3 linked regions of the Alligator mississippiensis genome follow. The protein of the gene in region 3 binds, or shares a complex with, the protein of the main gene of each other region. Links are inferred from orthologs where the notes say so. Each region holds a gene or a part of one and is shown on either strand. Other genes may lie near its edges.

The links.
Region 1: the proteins of NAA35 (region 3) and NAA38 are in contact, whole or in part, in a cryo-EM structure (PDB 7MX2), measured with the Homo sapiens proteins. The link is inferred for Alligator mississippiensis from reciprocal best matches to the Homo sapiens genes NAA35 and NAA38. Residues at the interface, in NP_001308810.1 of Homo sapiens: Val30, Asp31, Ile32, Thr33, Phe36, Ala39, Cys40, Leu43, Leu45, Glu47, Leu48, Leu49, His50, Asp51, Phe54, Glu58, Ala59, Ala62, Ile63, Glu64, Met65, Met66, Ala72, Gly73, Met74, Gln306, Arg307, Leu309, Pro310, Pro311; in NP_001307854.1 of Homo sapiens: Ala41, Arg42, Leu45, Glu46, Leu48, Leu49, Arg61, Phe67, Leu68, Cys69, Thr70, Asp71, Arg72, Cys74, Ile77, Arg97, Val98, Leu99, Gly100, Leu101, Ala102, Met103, Val104, Pro105, His108, Ser111, Ile112, Glu113, Val114.
Region 2: the proteins of NAA35 (region 3) and NAA30 are in contact, whole or in part, in a cryo-EM structure (PDB 7MX2), measured with the Homo sapiens proteins. The link is inferred for Alligator mississippiensis from reciprocal best matches to the Homo sapiens genes NAA35 and NAA30. Residues at the interface, in NP_001308810.1 of Homo sapiens: Leu45, Gly46, Leu48, Leu56, Ala59, Met60, Ala62, Glu64, Lys69, Glu121, Phe313, Pro314, Arg315, Ala444, Leu510, Glu511, Leu512, Glu517, Pro605, Lys606, Phe607, Glu608, Leu609, Asp610, Val614, Arg615, His618, Arg619; in NP_001011713.2 of Homo sapiens: Glu221, Pro238, Ser240, Tyr242, Thr243, Arg245, Tyr246, His249, Asn250, Lys304, Ile324, Glu334, Asn335, Leu336, Gly337, Val339, Arg340, Asp341, Lys342, Arg343, Phe345, Arg346, Tyr347, Tyr348, Leu349, Leu359, Trp360, Leu361, Arg362.

Annotation. Positions count from the first base shown.
Region 1 is NC_081838.1:24,904,149-24,910,235, forward strand, and holds NAA38 (N-alpha-acetyltransferase 38, NatC auxiliary subunit), read right to left. Parts: upstream 1,646-6,087; 5' UTR 1,542-1,645; coding exon 1,506-1,541; intron 1,341-1,505; coding exon 1,013-1,340; intron 707-1,012; coding exon 606-706; 3' UTR 503-605; downstream 1-502. Other genes in the region: cytochrome b5 domain-containing protein 1, read left to right, coding at 1,755-1,884, 2,644-2,720, 3,101-3,319, 3,489-3,719.
Region 2 is NC_081825.1:294,637,808-294,644,794, forward strand, and holds the start of NAA30 (N-alpha-acetyltransferase 30), read left to right. Parts: upstream 1-3,979; 5' UTR 3,980-4,068; intron 4,069-4,206; 5' UTR 4,207-4,209; coding exon 4,210-4,860; intron 4,861-4,867; exon of another isoform or gene 4,868-5,129; intron 5,130-6,914; exon of another isoform or gene 6,915-6,987. UniProt on the Homo sapiens protein: Catalytic subunit of the N-terminal acetyltransferase C (NatC) complex. Catalyzes acetylation of the N-terminal methionine residues of peptides beginning with Met-Leu-Ala and Met-Leu-Gly.
Region 3 is NC_081826.1:204,256,473-204,264,491, reverse strand, and holds the start of NAA35 (N-alpha-acetyltransferase 35, NatC auxiliary subunit), read right to left. Parts: upstream 3,005-8,019; 5' UTR 2,801-3,004; intron 2,454-2,800; exon of another isoform or gene 1,533-2,453; intron 474-1,532; 5' UTR 464-473; coding exon 340-463; intron 1-339. UniProt on the Homo sapiens protein: Auxillary component of the N-terminal acetyltransferase C (NatC) complex which catalyzes acetylation of N-terminal methionine residues. N-terminal acetylation protects proteins from ubiquitination and degradation by the N-end rule pathway.

The sequences.
Region 1 (6,087 bases), on a different chromosome or scaffold from region 3:
GGAGGACCTTGAGGGGAGAGGGAATTGGGGTGACAGCTGCCTCAGGAGGCCTAGCCATTACAGGGAGCTAGAGGGGTGTCAGTGACCTCAGGGGGGGCCATGACCTCCAAGACGAGGCTGGGGTCACAAGCCCCTGGAGGGCTGGGACAGAGGTCCCTCCTGGGGGCAAAAGGGATGGGGAGATCAGGGTCAGGTACACCAAGGGGTGCTAGGGTCAGGAGGTCACAGGTCATGGGAGGTTCATCTTGGGGAGGGGGTCCCCATGGGCAGTGAGGAAAGGGGGTGAGGACCCTCCTTGGGGTGACCCAGTGGACAGGGCCAGAGTGACCAGGGTGGGGAGGTCCCTGATGGGGGTGGGGGTCTGGTTATGTTGGGGGCCAAGAAAAAAACAGGGGTTGGGAAGGGGGGGTCAATACCATGAGGAGGTGGGGGCTGCAGGGCAGGAGTGAGGGGCACCCGTTCCAGTGCCACCCCCCCTATACAGATGAGGCCCGGGCTGGCAGTGGGTCCCATTGCCTTTATTGGCCAGGGGGAGGCTGTGTCCTAACATGCTCCACAGTGCCCAAAGGGGGGCCATGTCCCAGCATGCTCCGCTCTGGGTGGGGTCATGGCCTTGACGGCTCCAGCTCCACCTCGATGGACACGATGTGGTGCCCAGGCACCATAGCCAAGCCCAGCACTCGCGGCTCCGCACCTGAGAAGGAGTCTGGGGGAGGAAGGGGGAGGAGCTGGGGTTAGAGCTCAAGCTGCAGTCCCACCCAGTAGCCTCTCCTAGAGCCCCACCCCCTGCTCCCCTCCCTAAGCTCCACCCCCTCAAGGCCTATCCCCTACGTAACCCCACCTTCTTGCTCAAGCCCCGCTCCCTCCCGAAGGCCCGCCCAATCCACCCTAAGCCCCACCCCCTGGTCCCACCCAGAACCCCGCCCTTTTCGCCCGTAAGCCCCACCCCCCCACTCGAGCACTTCCCTCCCCTAAATCCCACCCCTCCTTGCCCAAGCCCCGCACCACGGACCCGAGGGCTTAAGGAACTCGTGGGCGGAGCCAAGGATGACATTGGCGTCGCGGTCTGTGCACAGGAAGCAGCCAACCAGCGTGCGCCCGTCCGACATACGCACGCGCAGGCTGCGGTTCAGCAATGCCTCCAGTCGCCGCCGCGCCCGCGCATGCGCCGAGCCCACCTCGCTCTGCGCTTGCGCCGCCAGCGGCTCCGCCTCGCTCTGCGCCTGCGTGAGATTGCAGGGACACATGACTCCCACATCTAGACACTGCGACTGCGGCGAGAGCGGGGTCCATAAATACGTCACAGCCCCCAGCTGCACTGCCTCAGCGTCCCTTTGTGCCTGCGCGAGGGGTCCAGGCATGTCACTACTCGTGTTGTGCGCATGCGCCCGAGGCATCTCCCTCGCTCTGCGCCTGCGCAGAGGGAGACTGGCGAAGGGGGGAGGTGGCTCGCCTGACCCCGCCTCCTCCCTCACCACGTGATCTTCCCAGCCCCGCGCGCTCACCCCGGGGATGCTGCTGTCACCCGGCGACTCCGCCATGGCCCCGCCGAGTCTCCCCTTCCCGGCAGTCCCTGCGCGGCTCGCGGGAGGAGGGATGACGAGGAGCTTCCCGACAACCTTTGCGCGGCGGGAATGGTGGGGCGGGCCTTAGAACTACAACTCACGTTGGACCTTCTGCGCCATTTCCGGGTGTTGCTGCGCATGCGCATTGGGGCGGGAAGGGTGAGCTGGTTGCTATGGTAGTGTGACGCCATGGAGCCCGGGCGGCGGCCGCGCTACTTCACCCCGCGCGAGGTGGAGGCGCACGCGCGGCCCCGCGACCTTTGGGTCAGCTTCCTGGGGCGCGTGCACGACCTCACCCCACTGGCGCGCGAGCACGAGGGTAGGCGGGGCGCGCCCGCCCTCCCCGACCCGCTTCCGGCATCGACCCCCCCCCCCGCCATCTCCGGGATCCCCCCTCCCCACACTTCCGGGACCACCCACTTCCGGAGTGGTGGGATTCTCTTCCCTCCCCCCCATGGGTCTGTGCTACTTCCGGTTCCCCCCAGTGGGTCTCAGGCCCCCTCCTCTACTTGGCCTCTCCCCCCAAGGCCCCTCCCCCCACCCCAGAGTCGACTAGCTGGGTGCTGAGTGAAGGGTCTCGGTTATACTCAGCTGGGACCCTCCCTAGAGCTGGCTGCATCTCAGAAGGCTGGGGACACTTGCACCTGGCCATGGCCCACCCCAGAGCCGGATGCATCTTGGTGCTGAGTGAGGGGTCTCGGTTATACTCAACTGTGATCCACTGCACAGCTGGATGCATCTCAGTGCAGAGTGAAGGGCCTCTGTTATAATTAGTTGTTGTCCAAGCTAGAGCTGGCTGCATCTCAGGATCGGGGACCCTGTTACAACTGGCTGTGGCCCACCTCAGAGCTGGCTGCATCTGAGTGCAGAGTGAGGGATCTGTTATACTCAGCTGTGACCCACTCCAGAGCTGGCTGTATCTCAGCGCCAAGGAAGGGATCTCTGTTACACTCAGCCATGACTCGCCTCAGAGTCAGTCTCACAGCAAGGCCTCTCCAGCTGTCAGGGCGGATCCTGGGGTGCAAAGGATTCTGCTCCACGCCCCCCAACTAACTCCCCTCTATTGCCCCACCCCCAGGTGACGTGTTGCTGCGGCCCATCCTGGAGGCGGCGGGGACAGACATCACCCACTGGTTCAACCCCAAGACGCGAGATGTAGGTGCTGCCAGGGGCCAGGGCAGGGGAAAGGGACTCTTGGGGGCAAGGATTTCCTCCCCTACTTCCTGTCCTTCCTGCCAGACATGGGGCAGCAATTGCACCTTCCAGGTGGGTAGGCAGCTCCCGCTCCACCCCAGTGCTGGCTGCACTGAAGCCCTGGGCTGTGGGGGAGAAGGTGTGGTATACACAGCCTCCCCTGAGAGCTGCCTGCATCACAAATGGGGGGTCCTTGTACACAGCTGCCCATCCCCAGAGCTGGTTGCATTTCCTTTCCAGGGGGGGTCCCTGTTATGTGAAGTCGGGTGCACCCTAGAACTAGCCCCATCTCTTTGCCATGATGGGGGGGTCCATTCCCCGCTCCCCCCACCCCCCTGCAGCTGCAGACCTGCGTGGATCCTCTGACAGGCTGCCCTAGATACTACACGCCCCAGGGCAGGGTCCTGCATGTGCCCCCGCTGCTGCCTCGCTCTGACTGGGCCAACGACTTTGGGGTACCGTGGTGGAAGGATGTCAAGTACGAGGTGGGCATCTTGTCGGCCAAGACCCGGCTTGTCCGTGTCATCAACACCCTCACGTCCCAGGAGCACATGCTTGAGGTGAGCTGGGAGGGACCTGTGTGGCCCAAGGGCAGGGGTGGCAGGGCGTCTGTGGATCACTGGGGGCCCTAATGCCAGGCTGGGAGGGGTCTGTGGATCTGAAGGGCCTGCGAGGGGTCTCTGCCTTGGCTTTCCCCATGCTCAGTGCCCCCATGACCGCCCCCCTCAGGTGTGTGCGGAGGAGTCGCTGTGGGAGATCCTGCGGCGCTACCTGCCTAACAATGCGCATGCGGGCAGCTACACGTGGAAGCATGCAGGTGCTGTGCTGGACATGGAGCGCACGCTGGAGCAGAATGGTCTGACTGATGACGATGAGGAGCTCTGGCACCTTGGCCTCGACCCCAGCCTCCATGCCCCTGGCCTGCTGCTGCACTTCAATGACGACCTCACCGAGCTCTAGGTAGGGCCTGGGCAGCGCCTGGCACCCTGGGGTCTCTGTGGGGTTTGTACAGCGCCTGGTGCGCAGGAGACAGGGCAGGACACAGCGCTCTCGGGAACCACAGGAGTCCTAGGTTCAAATCCTGGCCCTACTTGGGGGGGCTCAGTCCTGTGTGCCCACCTTCTCTCTGGGGTGGCAGGGCCTGGTCCCCTGCTGTTGTTGGGGGGCCTGGTGTCAATTCAGGCCCTGTGAGGGTCTCATCCTGCTCTGGGCGGGGTGGAGGCTGGTAAAAGCTCCGATGCTGAGATGGGAAGAGCAGGGGGAAGCCAGGACCCTGTGCAGTCTGTGCAGCACCAGGGCCCGATCCTGGAGGAGGGGGGTCGTGCCTGGCTGTGTGGGGTGGGGGGGGGACTTGCAGGTGGCCCCTCCACCCTGTCCTCCTGTCCTTTCTCTTCCAGGCCTGGCCATGCCCCCGACGTCCAGCCAGGGGTGCTGGAGTCTCATCTTAGCTCATAACACAAATAAATATTCTTGGTCTTGACCCCACCTTGGCCCTTCCTTCCAGAGAGCAGAGCTGGCCTTGCCTGGTCGGGGGATCCAGGGGCAGAGACCCCCCCAGTCTCCAAAAATCTCGGCCAGAAATGCCCCACGGTGGCTCACTCTGACCCTTGCAGTGGTGGTTTGGCTCCCCTGCCTGGCTCCACTGGGTACAGCTCCAGTCCAGCCACTAGAGGTCAGCGCTTGAACATCAGTTGCGGGTCCGGGACTGCCCCTGGGGTTTGTCTCCTCCTCTTCCCCCCCCCAGCCCCTCCCATCAGGAAGGACGGCTATACCAGGTGTCCTTCCCTCTCTGGGGGTGGGTGGGCAGGCATCCCTGGTTGAACAGGGCCAGCAGAGCTGAGGGGACCAGCCCTGATGTGTCTGGTGTCCTCCCCTCAGGGGGACAGCTGTGGCTTTGCTTGCCCCAGACGCAAGGCGGGGGCTGCTGCCAGGGCAAGGGGCCTTCTCTTGGGCTGGTCCTGACCTGGGGGAGACTGGGATGAGCCCTCTTGGGGCAGCTGGACCCGTGACATCTGGGAAGGCCGCAGCCTCCCAGCCCTCCTGTCCTGGGACCGCGGGGCTGTGTGGCGAGGGGGTCATCTCGGCCCGAATCCTGGGATTCCAGGGCCTGGGGATTTATTCAGTATCCTCAGCAAACATGGTGCTGGGGACGGATGCTGGAGCTGGTTCTGAACCTGGAGGGGGCAAGATGGGTCCTAGGCCAGGGCTTCTCTCCCCCCAAAATAAGGCTGAAGCAGGGGCAAGGGGCACGCAGGAAGCAGAGCCCGGGCAGACGCGCAGACAGGCTTGTTAGTCTGACTTGAAGCCTCCTGGCAGTGAGCAGATGACAATGGGGGCAGTTCTTCAGGCATTGCACCCCTGCACTATAACTGGCCACTCTGGTACCCACCCAGAACTCTACTGCTCCTTTTTATCCTGGAACTGGGTCCTGCTCCCCACCTCCCCCGAACCCCCAGAACCCCCAAAAATGTGTGTAGCTGTCCCCTCCCCAGTTCACTTGCCGAGAGGCAGGCCTGCTCCCTTCTCCTTGGAGCACTAGGTGCTGCGTGTGCCGGCACCTTGATGAATCAGATCTCTCCAATCTCAGGCTTCATTTAAAGCCAATGAATAACCCACAATTCCCTGCTGCTGGAGATGGGTCCAGGTCTGGGTCCGGGTCCAATTGAAAGGACAAATTGGATGCCCCTGGGTAGAAAGAATCCTTCTAGGTGGAAGGAGCCCCCAGTCCCCCTAGATCTCTTTTTTTTCTGGGCTGTCCTGGCTGAGACCGTTTGCTGATTGACACGGCTCGTGGTTGGGAGATCCGGGCCCTTCTTATTTGTCTCTTCAGAGTTGAAAGTGGGTACGGAAACAGCTCCTTTGTACCCCAAATAGCCAAAAAGAATGTAAAAAAAAAAAGAGTGCTGGGGGGTGGGGGGACGGTCTTCTGATTTTTCTTGGTGTTGTTCTCTGGGACCTGGGGAGAGCCAGCCAGCCAGCCCCATCAAGTCCTGGCTCAGAGCTGCAATGAAAGGGGATTGTTGTTTTTTTCCATGCAGGGGGCTGGGGGGGGCAGCTGGGGGATGGCTGGGTAGTGACAGGCATGCAGGGAGAGGAGTGAGACACGTGGCCTGCAACAGCGGTGGGGGAGGAACAGCTGCTTTGCAGGAGGGGATTGCCCTGGGCAGGAGCCATGGGGACACCAGACCTCGTAGCAGACGGCCTAGTGACCTCCATGCCGCCTGGGCTGACACGCTAATTGCCCAGCGGGCTGCTTGGCCAGGGTGAGCGGTGGCTGGGTGCCCTATCCGCTGACCCGCAGCTGGCTGCGGAGTCACAGCTCAAGGAA
Region 2 (6,987 bases), on a different chromosome or scaffold from region 3:
TGGCAGAATGGTGTAAAAGTTTATTAGTGTAACTGAAAAATGAGCTCTGAATTTCAGAGAGCAGAAGCAGCAGTTCAGTGCTTCCCACAAGACATCTTCAATGTGCTTAAATCTAGGAGAGAGAGAAGAGAGAGTTCATTTTTCAGACCATACATTTATTTTCCTCTGTGCTGAAAGTGCCAACAATAATGGTATCCATTCAGATCCAAAGGGATGATAATTATTTTGAAGTGGACACCTGTTCCTCATATATAATCCCTTTGAGAACAGAAATAACCTTCCTAATATATCTGAAAGTACCATTGCCATGTTCACACAGCCTGCAGAAGTCCCTTTCAAGATAAATACTAGAAGAAATAAAAGGGAGACTTCTCTGTAGGCACACTGCCTCAGTACTATGTCAACTAAAGTGTTTCTTTTCAGTGCAATTGATCTCATCCACACTGGCTGTATTTTTCTTTTTTTTTTTGTTACAACAATTTATAGTTTTATCTCTAGTAATGCGTGTGTGCTTTTTACGCACTTCAGATTTCTAAAAAGCAAGAAGCTCTCAATGAGGTAGGGAGCATTATATTTTATGATCTTTCACAGCAAATTTATGTGGGAGAGGAAAGTTGAACTTGTGGTTAAGGCACCGGTGAGATCTATTTAGTTTCTTGTTCTACTGCAGACATGTCTGACCTCGAACAACTCACTTGCTATTTCTCTGCCTCACTTCCCCAGCTCTGGTGATAATTCTGCTTCCTTTTGCCCCAGCCATTCTCTCTCTATGCAAACTTAAAGCCCTTTGGGACAGAGATTGTTTTTGTTTTTACATGCTTATACATTGACAGGGGCTCATTCTCATTACTATAGACCAAATAATAACATAAATAATACCAAGAAGACAAGGACAGTCACTGGATTAAAGGTAGGACTTTGTGAATTGTTTATTCATAACCATTGTCAGTAATAAGTCCTCACCTTAACTGGTGTTGAAAATGGTTTGGCGGCGAATATAGATGAGTCAAAACCATTTTCAGCATTATTGCTGAATAGATGAAACACATTATTGTCTGAGAATATGTTTCAGATGGTGCATTATTTTTTCCAGTAACAGCTAAATCATTTTCAACCTTGCTTGACAGCAACTGTCAACAATAGATTGCTTTTCTAACATGGCTGGGATTGCAACATTCAGAAATAAACATTCCCAATTCCACTCTTGCAAAATTGTAACTGTGAGTAAAATGTGTCCATTGGTACAATAAGACTTCTTTATACAATAGCTCAGTGTTTCTTTTTGTTCAAAGGGGTGAAATTCACCCCATCCGCATACAGTTGGGTATTTGGGCTCCATACAAGCACAATGCAAAGCAACTGTGAGATTTGAAAGGTCAGTGGTACTAGAGATAATATACGTTATTTTTTTTCTACAGGAAATCTAAAAATATATATTTAAATATAAATGAATATAGGTCCATTTTCATTCTTGAAGGTTTTCCATTATTCTCTGTGGTTAAAGAAACATTGAATCATTTGTTATAAATCTGGTATTTTATTTTTCTGAGAGCTCAGCAACTCAAAGACGGAAGCTTGAAGTACAGAGGGTTTTTTCCTAGTTAAGCAACCTGTTATGGCACATACAGCAATGACTAGTTTCCTTTAAAATCTAGACTTGTCATTTTCTCCAAAAAAATGACAGTACATGAAAATGAATGAGTTCTACATTCAACAGACCTGCATAGTCCCTTTTTTAATCTTCATGTCTCATGTATTTGAGGTAATCTTTAAAGGAACTCCTTGTTCTGAAGGATTGCTCTTAGTTTCTGAGCAGAATTTGAACTTTCAGTGATAGCTTCTTCCAACCTCCTTTGCTTGTATCCTCTCAAATTCTGTCACTTGCAAAAAACAGGCAGGGAAGTTGATTTCTATTTACATGCACTCTTTGAGGTTCCTCCACACGGCAGAGTTAAATGACTTTCTTTGAAACAACGACAAAGAAAGCTTACAACTGTCCCCACCCCACTGGAAGAAGGAGCGGTTTGGCTAGTATATTCCTTTGGTGGAATAATAACAATATTCATTCTTTCCGGCCAGCAGAAGAGCTGAGCTACTCTTAGTGATAACACATTACCAGCCGCAGGAGTTATCATGGCCACTCAAATGGCTTTGCAGAGCCCGATAAGGGTAATTAGCATCTTGTGGCCAGCTAGATATGATTGAATCCTACTAGGGAGTGTCCCAAGAGCAATGCTGCCAGTGTGCATCCCTGTTCCTAACACCAGTCCATTGAGTGACGGAGTGGCAAGGGAACAGGAGAGGCTGCAGATGCCAGCTATAAAAGTTTTACTGTTTTAATCCCAAATCCCACATGAGTTCTGTAAAGGGAGATCCTTCTGCCCAGCAGCAGGCAATACTGGAGTGTCAGTGGGCAAGTGTGGGTATGTTCACGTGGTATTATACAATGCGGTGATCCTCCACCACCTGGGATGCCCTGAGGTCCTTTCAAGCAGCAGTGGCCTTAGGCTTGTTGGGGCCCTGAGCAAGAGAGTCATTCGGGGCCCCTTACTGGCTTAATTTTGATGACCTATAAGCAAGTTGGACATTTGTTGCAAAAGTTTGGGGGCCTCTAAAGTGTGCCTTGCCGAAACCACCTTGCCCCATCGCTGCCCAAGTTCTTTGCAACAGACGGGCAAAGTCTTTTTCCAACGTGTTTTGAAATTTATTTTTGAGTTGCCAAAAAAAGCCCAGTGAACGCAAAAAGCTGGCATTTTCCTCATCTCCAACCCCGCGTCTCTCGAGTCTCAGGTGGGGAACCAGGGTGGTAACAGATCAGGGCCGGTCCAAGGGTAATTGGTGCCCTAGGCGAACTGTGTACCTCGACATCCCCACGCTTCAATAGAGGAAAAGAAGAAGTCTAGAATGAACTTTCACATGTGCTTATTTGATTTTCAAAATGAACAATAAAACAATAAAAACTAATTTTTGTTTTTAATTGTTTCACACTTTCCATGAACCCTAACACACTTATAACAGCTGGCCAGAGCTGTTACAGGCAATCCCCGCCTAACCCCGTTTCACTTCGCACTATTTCGCTGTAACGCTCGTTTGAAATCGATACCTGGTTCCACTTCGCGCTCGGCCAGTTTCGTTATAACGCTTGCGCTCGCCCTCTCGGGTCGTCAAATCCTGCCGGTTTCGCTTAACGCTCGTTTCACTGAACCCTCGGTTTTTCAGGAACCGATTCGGAGCGCTAAGCGGGGGACGCCTGTATTTAAAATAACGTTCCTGTTATTTTGTTCTGCGTCTCATTTTGGTGCCCCCCCACCCCAAATTTTGGTGAACGCTGCGTGCCCCTGGAGGCTAGGGGATGGTGAGCTCCTACAGGCGGCCACGGCGGTGTTGGCGACCACGGGAATGGCAGTCTGCAACCACCCGCAGACGCCACCGAAACCCTCTCAGCAGTGTTGGCGTGCCTTTTCGCAGGGGGTGCCCCGCCACGCCCAGGGGTGCCCGTGCACCCCCTACATGTCGCCAGTTTACCGATCCCGAAAGCTACCTCAGCACAAAGCCCTCAGGACCCCGTCTCACGGCCCCCAGCACCACGGCCGCGCTCGGCCGCCATTCTACGGACGGGTTGGCGACTGACTGGATTCCACCCTTATTCTCTGGGTCTAAAAACACGGGTGGGGGACGATCCCAGGGCCAGCTGCACTCACGTTGGCGGTGGGGCGGGGGTGACGGCCCCTTCCCCTTGCCTCTCCCGGAGGGGCTGAGGAGAACCCCGCGAGCGAGCGAGCGAAGGGTCCCGCCCCCACCTCCAGCGCGCGCGGCTCCTGATTGGCTGGCGCTGCCTCGCGCCACACCCCGCTCCCAACGGCTGCGCCCTGCCGCGCCTGCGCAGATCCCTCCCCTCCGCATTCTCCCGCGGCTCCCCTCGGCGCGTGTCCAGGGCCGGCCGCCAAGCGCAGCTGCGTCGCGACGCGCTGACAGGAAACCTGTCCGCGGGTCACGGCAGCGGCGGGCGCGCTTTACGGCCGCTGGATGAGTGGAGCGGGGAAGCCGCGGCGCTGAGGAGACGCGGGGGTGAGCGCGGCCGGGGGGCGGCGGCGGCGGCCGGGGGTGGGGGGAGGACGGGAGAGGGAGCGGCGCGGCCTACCTTTGTTCGCACCCCGGCCCGGCCTGACGCGCCGCCCCCCGGCCGCGGGCCGGTGTCTCCCGCAGGACATGGCCGAGGTACCGCCGGGGCCTAGCAGCGTCGTGGCGGTGGCGGCGCCGGGCGACGCGCTGTGCCCGCTGCCGGGCGGCGGCGGCGCGGGCGCGCAGGACGACGAGGCGGCGGAGGAGGAGGAGGAGGAGGAAGGCCCCGGCAAGGGGGGGCCGCCGCCGCCGCGGCTCCTGCACCCGCACCCGCCGCACCACAACCACCAGCTCAACGGCCTCCTCAGCCCCGAGCTGCGCCGCCTCCGCGCCTCCCTCAAGAGCAAGGTGCTGAGCGCCGAGGAGGGGCCCGTCGCCGCCGCCAACCACCTCCCCCCGCCGGGCAGGACTGCGCCCCCCGCCGTCGGGGCCGCCCGCAATGGACTGGCGGGGGGCAGCGGGCCCGAGGAGGAGGAGGGGGAGGAAGAAGAGCAGGAGGACGAGGCGGCGGAGGAGCCCCTGCTGCTTCTCACCCGGTCCTTAGCCGCCGGCTGCAGCTTGAAAGGCTCGGGGACGGACTCTCGGCCCGAGGAGGACCCCACGATAGGATACGTGCGCTACGAGTCCGAGCTGCAGATGCCCGATATCATGAGACTGATCACCAAAGATCTGTCTGAACCCTACTCCATTTACACATATAGGTATTTTATCCACAACTGGCCCCAGCTGTGCTTTTTGGTAAGTGCCGGGCGCGGCGGGGGAGGGGAAGGGAGCAGAGGCGAAGGGGAAACTCTTTTTCGGATGAGTCTACCGAGGCGCGCCTGCATTTTTTTTTTTTTTAGTCGCGCGCCCGGTCGGGTTCGAACCCGGGGTCTTGGAGCGCGTGGGTTACGGTCGCGTTTCTGACGTCGGCTTTGCGACCTGCGGCCGCTCACTTCGTCTCTTCCTATCTCGGTTTCCACCTTTGTGAAAATTGAAATAGCGCTTCGCCCACGTGCGTAAGTAAGGTAATGCCAGCATCGCCTTTGTAAAGCAGAACTAAGTCAGTCGCTTCGAACCGTCTGGGTTTGTTTTACGGATATAGCGGGGAGGGATGGGGGATCAGAGTTTTGCAGGTCTCGCGCTATTTGATTTGCCAGATTACTCTAAAATGCAGCTTATGCACAGCCGTATTTCTCGGTGCAGCACGCAGCAGGATGGCTGAAACCTAGGCAGTGTCATGCTGGGTTAGGATGGCTGTACTGTGCTAACAATGCATCTAATCTGGTATCTGGCCGACAGTTTTGCTCCAGTAGTCTGTTTGTCAGTGGCTGGCAATCTTTGTCTAAAAGAAGCAAGTTTTAAAGCTACTTTCATGGTGAAAAGTTTGGTGTTGCAGTCTATACGTGCGAACTTCCACACCTACATAAGCTGGCTAGGGAACCATACTTGCATGATTAGGCCTGCAGATATTTAGGTGCATATTTGAATTTTCTTTATGTGAGTTCTCACGTGTCTAAAAGCATACGTGGAGCTGTTTGGCACTTCCCTACTAACGGAGAGTTCACTACTTGATGCCTTAATCAAGACTGCATGCTTTTCCAGACAATACAAGCCCAACTTATTAGACTCAAAAAAGGGGTAATGGGTTGAAAAACGTAATGGTGAGGTATACAGGAGTTACATTTTTAAACTTTGTGTATGACTTCCATTTAACCTCTGTCACAACTTAACCGTCTGTCTCAGGGTTTCCAAAGCTGTGTGCACACCTTAGTCCTAAAAAAGGGAGTAGAGGTGGTTGTGGGGAGCTGTGTAAAACATATAAAGCTTTGCACAAACCAGACCCAACAAATGTAAAACCATAAGGGGAAGACAGGTTTATATTACGTGAACACTGACACTTGCTGTGGTGTTAAACGCTGGAACCGCAGTTGATGATCGGTTTGGTGTAGAATAGTACGAGAGCGATGGGCAGCAAGCTGCTGTAGCTGCTTATTGTAAAATCGTGTTAAGCCTCTACCTGGTGTGCATCTAGACTTGTCTTTATACCAAATAATCCCAGCCCTTTTTAAACCACTTGTGTGATATGAATTACAAATAATCTGTGTGCACACACGATACTGAGTTGGGACAGAGTCTATTTACAGATGTAAAAACCCCCCAAGAAAAGGTGCTTTAGTTAAAACTCGGCACATCCCTGCACTTTGCCCAGCACATGCCCAAAAGAGGCATTGCATTAGTTGGACCCGGGTCGCCCAACATCTGTATAGATCGGGTGCTTCAGCAGAACCTTTTTTGGCATTTTTATCTGATAGCTGATTGAATCAGCTATCAGATAAAAGTGCCAGAAAGCCCCACTAAAGCACCTGATCTCTATAGACGCTGTGGGACCAGGTCAAACCAGCATGCTTCCTCTTCCGGTAAAGCATGGTTCTGGATTTTTTTTTTCATGTCTGTCAGCAGCCTGGATGTCTCAGCTGTAATCAGTAAGGCCCAAAGGCACTGTTGAATACAGCGTAACCATATTAGATGCATCACTTAGTTTTTGTAGCTCAGTTCTTGGCGAAGAGTGATTTGGGAAGATCATTTTGTGAAAAGGACAATGGCATGCAGACCCAGTGATGTCTCAAAAAAATCCTAAAAATATAAAAATCTGGACAAATAATGTATGGTTTATATCAGCAGATTCAAAACCGGTGAATAGAGTGCTCTGAAATATAATGTATTCTAAGTAGTTTTGCAATATCTGTGGTGGTAGAAGCGAACTCAGATTTATCTTTCAGCAGTAATTTTTTTTCTTTTTCTTCTTTTAGTTTGAAGCCCTGAAAAAACCAAGAAGGCTTGATTACTTACATTGGCAATGTTAATGCAGATATCTCTTCTATA
Region 3 (8,019 bases):
GGGGTGGAAGAGCACAAGATGGTTTCAAGACAACAGGAAAAGCATATGGAAAAGCCAGATGGGCACAGAGAAAGCATATGGAAAAATACAGCCATATACAATGGAGGACATATACCTTCTGAAAAGGGGCTGCTAGTTTCATGGCCCCAATCCTACAAGAAGCTTGGCATAGGCAGAACCTTGAATCTGCAAAGCCCCAATATAATCAATGGGACCAAACCATACTGGAGGTCATTTCCCTATTAGATCCCCCAGGCTGGAAAACAGACTTGAAAAACATGTTTGCAAAGTATTCCAGTTCTCTGGGCATCTTGCAGCAATGCAAAAAGTACAACTCACCTCTACAAGCCTCTTCAAAATCCTGCGTAATATCTATCCAGCTGGTATTACTTTTTTCCATCTTGTCAGGTATACTGAGCTCCCATCCTGAATCATCATCTTCTACAGAAGCTTTCATAACCATACTACTGCACCTATACATCCAAAGCACAAACACTGCACATCAAGAACAAATGACAGAGTGCTTCACAGGGGAGCAAATGTTATTGCTCAAGGAACACATGCAAATATAAGTTTAAAAAGCTGTAAATGTAAATTTAAGGCTGGTCAGCCCCAACATTCACCTTCCCTTCCAAAGGATGTTTTCTCTTTTAGAATTCCCAGATACATCATATGGGATAACATTTTGCTGTGCTTATTTTTGTGAGTTTAACAACAGCAATGCTAGGTTGGAGAACCCCTGATAAAGTCAGAGTTATCGTAAACCCCCCCAATATGTTAAAACAATATATGAACAGTTTCAAACACTATATATGCTATTTTGGGGTGCCAAACTCATTTGGCCCCTGGTGCAGGCCCAGTCCGCATGCTGGATCAGGCCTACAGATCCCATTCTACCCTGCCGCCCCACCACATCTGCCTGGCTAATGTAGCACAGGTGGCACAGCCCTCCTAATAGCTATGTAAGTAGTTTCTTCTGAGCAAGAAATGTCCTTAAGTGGTTGTTTTTACTCATGGTATAATTGGGAACAGTTAGCAATGGGCACAAATAATGTGCCGGATATGCACGTGTGAGAAAGCAACACACACCCAGAGTGTGAAAAATCACTGTTAATCCCTCACAAATATTCCAAATAGGCAAAATACTACAGCTTCTCCACACTAGCCAGCCAATGTAACATATATTATAACCCTGACTTCACTGGCATGTCAATATTGCATCCGGACTAGGTTTTAATTCAGGTCAGTTTTGTCAGCAACAAACCAGCCTCCGTACAAGTAAACGGGAAAGAGGAGAGGGGTAACAGTACACACAGGTTGCCAGGAAAAGGATGGCACTCTTCTTCTCCACGTCCATCATAGATGAGCTGCTGTTTAAGAAATCTGGTCCAGTCAGAGAGGTGCTGCTAACAGCGCATGTCCCAGGCACTGAGCATGGGGATGCTCTAGTGCAGCAAAAGGGGCACCACCAGGGGCTGCGTTATATGGAGCTCAGCAGACTGCATATATGATACCACTACACTATACTATACCTTTCCTTTCCAGTTGTTTTATAATAACCATCATCGTCGGCAATCCCTCGCAGTCAAGGATGACCATCTTCCATTATCATCTTATCTGTGGGTCCAAAGATGGCTGACAAGGCCTATCCAGGATTGACAGACACCACTGCAACTTGGGCATACGTTTCCATGCAAGGCGGGTGGCTCTGGGTTCTTGGTTCAGTCCACAACACTGTTTCTGCCACTCCCATTTTTCCATCTCCTGTTGTCATTTTGAAGTTTCAACGTACTAAGATCCTTGCAGCAGACTCTTCCTCCATTCAGCGCAGTGCTGGGCAAATCTCCCATGAGCTGATATCACTTTTGCATTTTTTCAAGTTAGCCTTGAAGACATCCTTGAAGCACTTCCCTTGCCCTCCTCTTGAGGGTACACCTTGCCTGAACTGGGAGAATGCAACTTGCTTTGGGAGTCTGGAGTCACAAATCCAGATGATGCGATCGGCCCAGCAATGCTGACATTGGACAATCATTGCCTCAATGCGCATGGTGTTCACTTGTGAGAGGACACTAACGTCGGTGCGTCTGCCTCCCCACTAGATTTGAAGGATCTTCTGCAGGCAGCGTTGACAACACTTCTCCAGCGCATTGAGGCGTCTTCTGTATGTTACCCACAGGTCTTTGGCCCACAAACCCTTAAAGTGGCAAACAGGTCTGTACGCCATCCATGTCTCAGCTCCACACAGTGAGGCAGGGATCATGACTGCTCGATTAACCATGAACTTGGCTTCAGATTGAACATCACCATTTTCAAACACCCATTTCCTCAGGCGCTCCAAGGCTGCCCTTCCACATTAGTGGCTGTGAGAGCTACAGAAGAAGCTGAAGCAGACTTGACCCCCCACCCCTTCCACGCACCATATGCAAAATGCTTGAAGCCAGGCAGGCCCCAAGCCCTTTCCAGAGAGTTTCTTAACCACAGCCCTGGGGACCAGGATGAATCCACGAGCAGAAGTGCCAGAGCAGCGGGGTGTGAGGGGACATCCCGAGGTCACTAGTCCAACCCCCCCAGCCCTACACACCCAGGGCGCCTGTAGCCCTAGAGACCCTTCCCCCTGCCCCAACGCAGACATACGCTGTTTGCGTAGCGCCGGGCCCCTCGAGCCCCTGCGCAGCCCCCGGCACCCCGCTCGGGGGCTCTGAGGAGCCGCTCCACCCCCACCCCGGCGCCAACCCCCTCCCGTCAGACCACTGCTGACGCAGCCACGACGGGTGAAAGGGAAGGCGGGCCACCGCCTCACCGAGCGCCGCTGCTCCCGCCTAGCCGCACGCCCCGCGTCTGCGTCGCTTCCCGACAGCGCCCGGCCCCGCCGAGCCCGCTGCTGCGCACGCGCAGAACCCCCTCGCTTCCCAACGGCCGGCGTCCGGCTCGGCCTCAGGGTCAAGCGCATGCGCCTACGAACCCCCTCCCCCCATTTCCGGAAGCCGGGGCTAGGCTCTTTGGAGTACGTATGCGCCAGTCGTGCCGGTGAGCAGAAGCCAAGATGGCCTCTGTGCCGCGATAGGGCCATGTATCGCGAGAAAGGCCAGCCGCCGAGCGCTCGGTATGGGAAGGACCGGGAGGAGAGGGCGGGGTTTGCGGCAGAGGTGGGCGTGGCTAGGCGGAGGGGCGGGGTATCCCGTGATCTACTGCTCTGCGGGCGTTTGTGGTGCGCTCGGCGGAGCTGGTGTTGCCTCCAGGCAGGGCTGGGGGTGTAGCTCGGGCCCATGGCGTCCGCTGTGGTTCGTACTCTGCGCCTCCCCGTGTCGGGACCAGCTCCCCTCCCGCGGTCCCAAACGCCCGGCGGGGCCGGCTGGGCCGGCGTGGGGGCGGGGTAGGGAGGTGATGGAGACGGGTTGGAAGATGCGGAGGGCTGGACGCAGCAGCAGGGGAAGCAAAGAGGCGGCGGGGCTGGGGGTGGGGGCCGCAATGGAAAGCCGAGCCACCTCCCCGACAGAGGGCCAACGGAGGGACGGAAAGAACTGCGCCCGAAACCTCCAGAGCAATTACTTTTACTCCCAGGCAATGGGGAAAATAAGTGCCAGGTGCAAACGAGGAGCCACCTCCTGGGTGCAAGGTGGGAGCTGGGGTTTTAGTTCGGGTTCATTTTCTTTGTCCATAACAGACCAGCCTGGGCAGGAGGAGGCAGGGAGAGGAGAGGGGCCGGGATGTATGCAGGGTGCCTGGAAGAGGGTGCCCTCTTGTTCTCCATGCCTGTTGTAGACGGGGTATAAGAACCTGGCAGGGGAAACACTGTGACCGCTAACTGGGGTAATGTATATAGTTAGTCTCCTAGTTTCCCTTCCAGTGGGATGATCTGCTACATGCCAATTTTATGGAAATGGGAGACTCCTCCCTAGCTCACTCCTGTGGCCATACAGCTGACAGTAAGCAAAACTCAGGGGCATCTGAATCCCAAGCCTCTGGGCTTGGGCCTACACATAGGATGCCCGCCACCAGATTTGGAAGCATCTGAAGCTCCAGGGATGGAGGATGCTTGCCGGTAGCAGAGCCACATATGGTTCTTGGCTGACTCATGGATTTGGAATTGATTTAGCTGATTTGATTTGGGACATGAAAAATTTTCTTTAAAAAAATGTTTTAGACACTGTGTGTTCTGATTTGAAATCTGTGGATTTAGCTTGTGAATCACATATTGTGTTTGCACGCTGAAAAGTGCTAATATTGCATAGCACCCTGTGGCATCCCTAAAAGGATATTGGGGCACTCCAGGGTACTGCAGCAACTTGCTTGGAGATCACTGGTCTTACTGCATTTATGGATTGGATCTTTTAAGATCCTTCCTTCCAGGCCTGCACTTCTATGACTTAATGCTTTCTCTTTGTTTTAATATTGATATTTGAACACCTGCATGCAATCCATTGGAATTATGCAAGGGTATGTGTGATAGAATTAGAGCTGTGTTGTGAAGAGCTCTCAGGGATATGAGATTTAATATGATTTTAGAAATTTGCAATCAAACTGAAAGGTGGCTTAGGATGGTGTTTAATGAAACATACTTATCGGAGACTACATGGTTTGTTCAAATATGTTTGATAGGCAACCTTTTTTTTGCCTTTGTATTGCATTCTATGTGGTTTTGCTGAAGTGTCCTGCATAATGTTGTATACTTTACCACAAGGGCCTAATTTATTACTCATAATTAATTATTTCAAATAACACAGATGTGGATGCTGCTTATAAGCAAAATAATACTGACTAGCTCAGTGATTCTCAATCAGGGTGCTGTGACATTCTTTTAAGGGTGTTGCAAGGTCCTACACAATATTAGCACTGTTAGATGTGCACGGATCTACATACGATTTGCAAGATAAGTCCAAAGAATTCAAATAGGATTCCACAGCGTCAAAAACGTTCTGAACTGTAGTGTTTTTGAGTTGCTTGCAATAGAATTGTTCTGTTATTTTTCCACTGTCTAAAAAAAACAAAAGAAACTAATTTTGTTGAAAGGTGGGGGGGAGGGCACTGACTTCAGAGAAATTATGGAGGGGTGGGTTGAAAATTGCTGGTCTAGCAATTCACTTACTGCAGGTTAGTTCAGCAAATATTTTTGCTTTCTGGGTTATGAGGAATTAGTTACATGACGTGTCTCAGCGGTTCACTTTTACTGTGTACAAAAACACACATTCTCTAAAAGCTAATGTCATCACTGGTAAAAGGAAGCTTCTGTGTGAACTTTTGTTGTAACAGTGTCTGTTGTTTATTTCTGTAGTGTTGAAATATGCTGTTAGATTTTAATCCTTTCACACCTCCACTTATTTTACAGGCCCATATACACAATATTTAAAGATCTCAGGATAAAGATTGCACTTGCAAAGAGCAGGTTAATGGTATATTGATTATTGGAAAGTAGCTACTGAAGCCAGGGGTATTCTTAACTAATTCTTATGATAAAAAATGTACTAATCCCTGACATAGGAGACCAGCACCAATAGGCACTGTTTCTTTTCCAGAAAAGACACTGAAGTTCTGGGGGCTCTGCCCTTTTTTGTTACATGAGATAATGGTAGTAATGCACTTAATACTTAATATCTTTAATGTCCAATAGACATGTCCTTATCCTTTGGCTAGACTAATTTCATGTTTTATTTTAAGTTGGTTTTTTTTTTTTAAGCAAACTATAAAATCTTTGGGATTGTTACTGGAACTTAGTGGCTTTGACTTGCAAGTAGTTTTTTTCTAATTCTATTCGGGTTGGGTAGTACTTCTGTGATGGGTGCTGCAGTAGTTTTTGCCGAATGTGGTTGGTCCCACTCTAACGCTCAGACAATGTGTGTCGCAACCAAATGGAACCTGTTATCAGTTTTATTGCAAAAAGCCATATGGCCAAAAATGAATTGAGTTAGAAAAATAAACGAGGGGCACGACAAGTCTCTCACTGGGGTTGTAGAGAGGCAGCAGCAAGGCACCAGACTTCCATGCGTAGACCCTGAGATGGTGCGGAGTCACTTGGAAGAACTGGATGCCTTTAAGTTGGCAGGCCCGGATGAGCTCCATCCGAGGGTGCTGAAGGCACTGGCTGACATCATTGCAGAGCCACTGGCGGGAATATTGGAACGCTCGTGGTGCATGGGCCAAGTCCCAGGGGACTGGAAAAGGGCCAACGTGGTCCCCATTTTCAAGAAGGGGAGGAAGGAGGACCCGGGCAACTATAGGCCAGTCAGTCTCACCTCCATCCTTGGTAAAGTCTTTGAAAAAATTATCAAGGCTCACATTTGCAAGAGCCTGGCAGGACAAATTATGCTGAGGGGAAACCAGCACGGGTTTGTGGCAGGCAGATCCTGCCTGACCAATCTAGTCTCTCTTTATGACCAGGTTACGAAACGCCTGGACACAGGAGGAGGGGTGGATGTCGTATACTTAGACTTCAGGAAGGCCTTCGATACGGTATCCCACCCCATACTGGTGAACAAATTAAGAGGCTGTGACTTGGATGACTATACAGTCCGGTGGGTGGAGAATTGGCTGGAGGGTCACACCCAGAGAGTTGTGGTGGATGGGTCGGCTTCAACCTGGAAGGGTGTGGGCAGTGGGGTCCCACAGGGCTCGGTCCTTGGACCAATACTCTTTAATGTCTTCATCAGCGACTTGGACGAGGGAGTGAAATGTACTCTCCAAGTTTGCAGATGACACAAAACTGTGGGGAGAAGTGGACATGCCGGAGGGCAGGGAACAGCTGCAAGCAGACCTGGACAGGTTAGATAAGTGGGCAGAAAACAACAGAATGCAGTTCAACAAGGAGAAATGCAAAGTGCTGCACCTAGGGAGGAAAAATGTCCAGCACACCTACAGCCTAGGGAATGACCTGCTGGGTGGCACGGAAGTGGAAAGGGATCTTGGAGTCCTAGTGGACTCCAAGATGAACATGAGCCGGCAGTGTGACGAAGCCATCAGAAAAGCCAATGGCACTTTATCGTGCATCAGCAGATGCATGATGAATAGGTCCAAGGAGGTGATACTTCCCCTCTATCGGGCGCTGGTCAGACCGCAGTTGGAGTACTGCGTGCAATTCTGGGCACCGCAATTCAAGAGGGATGCGGATAACCTGGAGAGGGTCCAGAGAAGGGCCACTCATATGGTTAAGGGCCTGCAGACCAAGCCCTACAAGGAGAGACTAGAGAAACTGGACCTTTTCAGCCTCCGCAAGAGAAGGTTGAGAGGCGACCTTGTGGCTGCCTATAAGTTCATCACGGGGGCACAGAAGGGAATTGGTGAGGATTTATTCACCAAGGCACCCCCGGGGGTTACAAGAAATAATGGCTACAAGCTAGCAGAGAGCAGATTTAGATTGGACATTAGGAAGAACTTCTTCACAGTTCGAGTGGCCAAGGTCTGGAACGGGTACCCAAGGGAGGTGGTGTTCTCCCCTACCCTGGGGGTCTTCAAGAGAAGGTTAGATAAGCATCTAGCTGGGGTCATCTAGACCCCGCAGTCTTTCCTGCCTATGCAGGGGATCGGACTTGATCTATTGAGGTCCCTTCTGACCCTAACATCTATGAATCTATGAATATCGTCCCTGGCATGGTCTCCAGTTCACATTAGGGAGCTCAGCCTGGCTGCTTTTGTGCATACTAAAAATCCCAGATGTAATGCAACTTCCCTCAGCATGGGAATGGGTGTGTGCCAGTTGCTGTGCTTGAGCTAGAGCTCAGAGGTATGTGCCTAGCTTTGTGGCAGTTCCATTACTTCCATTTGGGGGTTTAACGTATGTGGAACAGGTATGTTGTTTCACTGCTTTACTCTTTAGTGTAGTCTGGATGCAATATGCCTGTTAACTCAGGGATGCACTGTTACATGGACTAGCTAGTGTAGAGTAGCTGTAGTATTCGGCCTGTTTGGAATATTTGTGAGGGATTAACAGTGATCTGCACTTTGGATGTGTGGTTGTATTGGTACCTGCTCTCCCTCCCCCTATGCCTGCTGTTTTTTTCTTTTTTTATTTCTTTCTTTTCTTTTTCT